Saccharomyces cerevisiae S288C: one gene and its partner. The gene in region 2 interacts genetically with the main gene of each other region. Each region holds a gene or a part of one and is shown on either strand. Other genes may lie near its edges.

Evidence for each region. Genes that interact genetically often act in the same process or in processes that back each other up.
Region 1: mutations in HAP3 (region 2) and GAL80 together harm fitness more than expected from each alone (negative genetic interaction), as found in Saccharomyces cerevisiae (3 studies listed by BioGRID).

What each region holds. Positions count from the first base shown.
Region 1 is NC_001145.3:169,738-173,401, reverse strand, and holds GAL80 (transcription regulator GAL80), read right to left. Parts: upstream 1,809-3,664; coding exon 501-1,808; downstream 1-500. Other genes in the region: AIM32 (Aim32p), read right to left, coding at 1-263; SUR7 (Sur7p), read right to left, coding at 2,092-3,000; YML053C (uncharacterized protein), read left to right, coding at 3,648-3,664. UniProt on the Saccharomyces cerevisiae protein: This protein is a negative regulator for the gene expression of the lactose/galactose metabolic genes. It binds to GAL4 and so blocks transcriptional activation by it, in the absence of an inducing sugar.
Region 2 is NC_001134.8:181,160-184,166, forward strand, and holds HAP3 (Hap3p), read right to left. Parts: upstream 936-3,007; coding exon 501-935; downstream 1-500. Other genes in the region: ATP-dependent Lon protease PIM1, read right to left, coding at 1-116; RFT1 (glycolipid translocation protein), read left to right, coding at 1,242-2,966. UniProt on the Saccharomyces cerevisiae protein: Acts a component of the CCAT-binding factor, which is a transcriptional activator and binds to the upstream activation site (UAS2) of the CYC1 gene and other genes involved in mitochondrial electron transport and activates their expression.

The DNA of each region.
Region 1 (3,664 bases), on a different chromosome or scaffold from region 2:
CATGCTACCTTCCATGGTTGAGCAAACCTATCACCCGGTGATAACAGCAAAACATGCTTATTGTAATTGGGCGTTCTATGAGGAAGCTTGATATGAGGATCTAATGGATCAGTTTTTGAAGGCAGCCTTGCGTTTATTTCTTGGCAATAACAGTTTGTTTGATCATTTTGAGCACGGGTATGAAGATCAGGAACGCTAATATGTTTGAAGCTATGATGGAAGGATGCCCGCTGCTGCAAAGTTTTGACAGTTATACGTAGCATTTTATTTTTTGTGTCAGTGCACCTTCTCTCACTTTTCTACTAAGGAAATTTGATATTTCAAATGTAGTATGCTAATAAATAAGAACACCCGCATGCACGAAAAAGGGAAATTTAAAACTAGTTAGGTAAACAAAGTTCAGAACAAGAAATGATATGGTTGTTTTACATAGATATATACTCAGTATTCGTTTTTATAACGTTCGCTGCACTGGGGGCCAAGCACAGGGCAAGATGCTTTTATAAACTATAATGCGAGATATTGCTAACGTTTAATGTGGAGCCCATCATGTTACTTTTATAAACGCTCTCGATTAACCTGTGTAATATCAGAGCATCCATCAAGGTGGGAAAGCCTTCGAAATCGAAACCTTGCATTACAAATTGTGAGGGTAATTCAGGAATTTTCTTTGTATTGAAGTGGAAGTCAGAGATAGATTGATACAGTCGATGAATATTACCCACAATGGCATTATAATTTCGTAAATGATATACTTCCATGATTTCTTTACCTGCATCATACCCCGGGTCTAAAGGAGCTTGTTGTCCATTGGCTAGCGGGAAGTCGTTTGCTCTAGTTCCACTGTAGTAAAGGACCAGATTTGAAATTTCTGCGAAGCCGGCATCGCCTTCAAGTTTCAAATCTCCCTTGGTACCGTGAATGTCAATGACCAAATTTTTGGTAAATTTTTTGGTAGGTTTGCCACCTTTGAAACTGCATGACACTGGAACATTGCCATTTAACAATGTGCCTTGGAATAAAAGATGATCCGGTACTGTCTTTGGGACTCGCTGGCCCAATCGGTTACCACGCTCATCTATCAGCTCTTGCTCTGGAATATTATTGAAAACCATTGCATTTATCCTGGAAAAGTACGAACTTGTCATGTATTGTAAAATATCGATTGTGTGACCAAATGTTGTGGTTACCAGATCTACACCGTTCCCGATTTCATAGATGTATTTTGGTGATTTAACAGGCCTTTCGTAGCCGTACCAACCGCCATTTCCAGCAATCTCGATCGAATTAATGTCGCCGATATAGCCTTGAGATATTAATTCTTTTGCTCTCAAAATATATGGTGATTTACGACCTTGTAAAGAGATGATGGTTTGAACCCCACGTTCAGCAGCAGCCTTATAAATGGATTCGGCTTGATCTAGTGAACATGCAAGGGCCCATTCTACGAAAAGATACTTGAGGTTCGGATTATTTTTGGAGAATTCCAAGAGAGGCATAACAACTTCATAATGGCTGGCCACTTGGATAGCTATCACTATCATATCTATAGTGGAAGATGATGCAAATGACTCTAAAGTGGGAAAAGCAGTGGCATTACTCAATTTTAGACGCTGAATGGTGGCAATAGAAGTCTCAATTTTTGGACTGTATAAGGCAGTGATTTGAAATTGTGACGATAGTTGCAGTATGGCGGGGTAATGTGTCTTGATTGCCCATCCTTTGGCTGCGTTGAGACCGACGAATCCGACTCTTATGGGAGCTGCATTAGGCACGGTTGAGACCGAAGATCTCTTGTTGTAGTCCATGACGGGAGTGGAAAGAACGGGAAACCAACTATCGAGATTGTATACGCTGGTCGGCAAGGACCAGCAGTGATATGTGATGTATATATATTCAGGTTCAAAAAAAAAAGTTATGAGCTTTTGGTTATTATGAATGTAGCAGACATTTTGAGGTCGTTCGGGCGAGAGTGCGCCGGTAAATGAAGAAAATATAGGATATTATTAATATTAGAATTAAACTATTATATTGCAGGGGAGAGAAGAAAGGGGTATAAATATATATTACAAAGCGGAAAACTTGCGCCATTTAAACAGAGACATCGTCCGGGCGCTCGTGTGATTTTCTTATAGTGAAGAAGTTAATACCTTTAGGTTGGTTTTCCGTAGCAGCAGTGGCAGTGACCGGATTAGCATTGGAAGAAGGCCCCACTATGCTTGCACTTTGTTGCATGTCTTCAGGTCCAGTGGCAGTCAATATTGGGTCAGTTGCTTGCTCCTTCTCTCTATGGAAGGGATTCCATCTGGAGGAGGTTCTGTATCTTGAATTGTCGATGGAGTAAGTAGAGGCCAACCTTGCCCTAACAGACCAGAAGACCAGCAGGATAAATTCCACGATACATAAAAAGACACTTGCCCAAGCCATACCCATCATAGAGGCACCCAATTGGGCACTACGATGATCGTCATGGAAAGCATTCTTTGCCATGGCAGAGGCGGCCGTTTGCAAGACAACGGCTGCCGTATTGAAGACAAACCCAAAAGACATGAGGATAAGCACCATCTCTGAAAGCATCTTCGAGCACCAAGTCAAAACGTAAAGGATAAACGACACACCTACAAAGGCAAGCGCAATCCAAAAGAAACAAAATGAAAATCTAGTCAGGTAGTAAAAAGCGTCTCTTTTGGAAATAAACTGGTGAGGGACATTGATGTGTGTGTTGAAGTTATCTACTGGGGAAATGGGGTATGCAGGTGCCAAATTGCTTGTGCAGGTATCCGACCCGTCTTTATCCTGTAGACAGGCGCCCCAAAACGTCCAACGTGTTTCATCCCCAGCATTAGGTATGCCTGTTGTATTGCCCTGCACCCAATAGAATCTGTTCACGGGGTAATGGTCCGTGGCACCAGATATAATCATCAAAATTAACAGCAAGGTATTACCTGCTAAAAACAGCAACACTACCAGACGTAGTACTATATTCCAGACCTTAACCATAGTATTGTGCGGATATGCGTTACTATACTTAGTCTCTTCAATATCTACGGGAGTCAAGAGGTATTAATAAATCTTCTTGCGTGGGTGTTGCTTGTTTGTTTGCTGTTTAAGTATCGAGGAGATGTTGAAAAATGTATCGGGGGCCTCGAGGCGACACCTGCTAATGTTTACAATTTTCCCGATTGGGGTGCTAGAGGCATACAGTGGGCTACATGGCACAGCACGGCAGTGCAGAGTGAGAAAATATGACTTCACGCTCGAGGCGAGGCCACGCTTTCGAAGCTTCGAATGCCACTACCTAGACCATTGCTGTTTTGTACCTTCACGGTCCCATTAGAGACATTTTACTTAATGCAAGATTGCCATATCCGTTGTCATGGTACCAAACAGGGTAATAATTTCTAGAAATCATGATACACGTATGACATCTGGGTAACCTAATCCATCTGGGTAACCGATTTTTCTCTCCCTTTGCTTTCTCTTTACCACTCAGCTGACTTTATTATTTTTTTTATATTTTTCATTTTGACAAAATTATATAGTTAGGAAGAATACAATAGGACTGCGACAGAAACAGATAAGGGCTCTTTTTTCTTGGGGTTGGCTGCTTTTATTCATTAATTTAAGACTCAAGTGTGCTGCGTGAAATGCTCTCATACTATGA
Region 2 (3,007 bases):
GATGCGAACCTTCTTTGAGAAACTGCAGCAGTCTTAGCGATAGATCGGTAATATTGGATAGCTCTTGTGGTCCTCGCCACTGTGCTAAGGGTCTTTGTGGTTCTTGTTCTTAGCATGCTCTATTTGCAAATCTTTTCGTTCAAGCACCTCGAAAACCAAAAGAAAAAACAACTAAACTTTGAAACAGCTGCAAATGCACACTGTATTATCAGGTTTTAGGTGTCCTAGTAACCGTATCAGCTTGTCGTTGCTGCAATACCAATGCAAAAGCATGGCTAAAAGACTTCGTCTGACTTATTTCCTTCCGGTGGCAAACATCATACACCCTTTACAAAGCACCCATACATTACATTGAATACATTACACACTAACAATAAAATATTATCTATATCGTTACATTCATTAATTACACGAGAACCAACGACCAGCAGGAAATAGCCCCGTGCTATTCCATCCTGACAGCTAGCAACTTTTGCGATCTACCACCTGGTTTTGTCTTCTCAAGGCACCTCTTCGTCGTCCTGCTCATACATTAGTTGATTCTTCAGCGCCTGTTGTTGCCTGTATTTAGCCAAGTAGATTTTCAACACCTCTGCATAGTTCTCGAATCCTAAGGCGTGCAATGATATGAGAATGTCTTCCCCGTTTATCGTCTTTCTTTTGTCAGCAGCGCATCGATCGCTGGCCTCGCTAGTCACAAAAGAAATGAGCTCACTGACACACTCCTGCATGCACTCTTTCGCATCTTTCGATACCTTAGCACTCGGTGGGAGAGTATTCTTCATGAGTCGCGCTACATTGTTGATGGGTAGCCATCTGTCCTGCTCTCTTAGCGTGGAAATTTGCTGCAAACTGCCGCTGGAGCTAGCGTTTCCACCGTTCTCCTGAGTATCCTCTGGGCTTGTGCTAACATGTTCGGACTCGTTGGTATTCATATTCTCGAGAGGTTTGTGCCACTTGTGTTACTATCTAGCTTAGTCCTGCTCTTGAGTTTGATTGGCGGAAAGCTACTATTCGCAGCTCTTTTTTTACTTAGTCTGAAAGAGCGGACCAAAAAACGCACGTAGCGCGATATTGTCGTGGCATCGAACGTAATATGGTACTTCTATTGTGCTATATTTTGGCAGAAGGTTTGCAGTAATCGCAGCCTGGAGAAGACAATGCGTATTAGTAGCAGTAAAGGGCCACAGATAGGGTGATTTGAAGTTGATTCTGCTTTTGTCAGTGAAGGAAAAGAAAAAATGGCGAAAAAAAACTCACAATTGCCCTCTACTAGTGAGCAGATCTTGGAAAGGTCCACAACAGGAGCTACCTTCCTCATGATGGGCCAACTTTTCACCAAACTGGTAACGTTCATACTAAATAATTTGTTGATCAGGTTTCTGTCGCCCAGAATTTTCGGTATCACGGCCTTTCTAGAATTTATACAGGGCACAGTGTTATTTTTTAGCAGAGATGCGATTCGTCTGTCGACGTTGAGAATCTCAGACTCCGGTAATGGAATAATCGATGATGACGACGAGGAGGAGTACCAGGAAACTCATTACAAGTCTAAAGTTTTGCAAACCGCAGTCAATTTTGCTTACATTCCGTTTTGGATCGGGTTTCCACTGTCCATTGGTCTTATCGCCTGGCAGTACAGAAACATCAACGCGTATTTCATCACTCTTCCATTCTTCAGGTGGTCGATTTTTCTTATCTGGCTGAGTATCATCGTGGAGCTGTTAAGCGAGCCATTCTTCATCGTCAACCAGTTTATGTTGAACTATGCCGCAAGGTCAAGATTTGAAAGCATCGCGGTGACTACAGGATGTATTGTCAATTTTATAGTTGTTTATGCCGTTCAGCAATCCCGCTACCCAATGGGGGTTGTCACATCGGACATTGACAAAGAAGGCATCGCCATATTGGCATTTGCCTTGGGAAAGTTAGCACATTCGATCACCCTGCTAGCATGTTACTACTGGGACTATCTCAAGAATTTCAAACCAAAGAAATTGTTCAGTACCAGGCTAACGAAGATAAAAACGCGTGAAAATAACGAATTGAAGAAAGGCTACCCAAAGAGCACATCTTATTTTTTCCAAAACGACATTTTACAGCACTTCAAAAAAGTTTATTTTCAACTATGTTTTAAGCATTTGTTGACAGAGGGTGATAAGTTGATTATCAATTCTTTATGTACTGTGGAAGAACAAGGCATTTACGCTCTATTGTCGAACTATGGATCGCTACTAACAAGATTATTATTTGCGCCGATCGAAGAATCTCTGCGGTTATTTTTGGCCCGTTTATTATCCTCGCATAACCCTAAAAATTTAAAACTATCTATTGAAGTCCTGGTGAATTTAACAAGGTTTTACATATACTTATCGTTAATGATCATTGTATTTGGGCCTGCCAATTCATCCTTTTTATTGCAGTTCTTGATTGGCTCGAAATGGTCCACTACTTCCGTTTTGGACACTATAAGAGTCTACTGCTTTTACATCCCATTTTTATCGCTTAATGGTATTTTTGAAGCTTTTTTCCAGAGTGTAGCCACTGGTGACCAAATTTTGAAACATTCATATTTTATGATGGCCTTTTCTGGTATTTTCCTGCTCAATTCCTGGCTTCTTATTGAAAAACTCAAACTATCAATCGAAGGCTTGATATTGAGTAACATCATTAACATGGTGTTGAGAATATTGTATTGTGGAGTTTTCTTGAATAAATTTCATAGGGAACTGTTTACAGATTCCTCTTTTTTCTTCAATTTTAAGGATTTCAAAACAGTTATTATTGCTGGCTCAACGATCTGTCTACTTGACTGGTGGTTTATTGGGTACGTTAAAAATTTACAACAATTTGTTGTTAACGTATTATTCGCAATGGGATTGTTAGCGTTAATTTTGGTCAAGGAGCGCCAAACCATACAATCTTTTATTAACAAGAGGGCGGTTTCCAATTCTAAAGATGTATAAACAAAAATTCTTATATAACTTAGGCGACACATAATATGCGC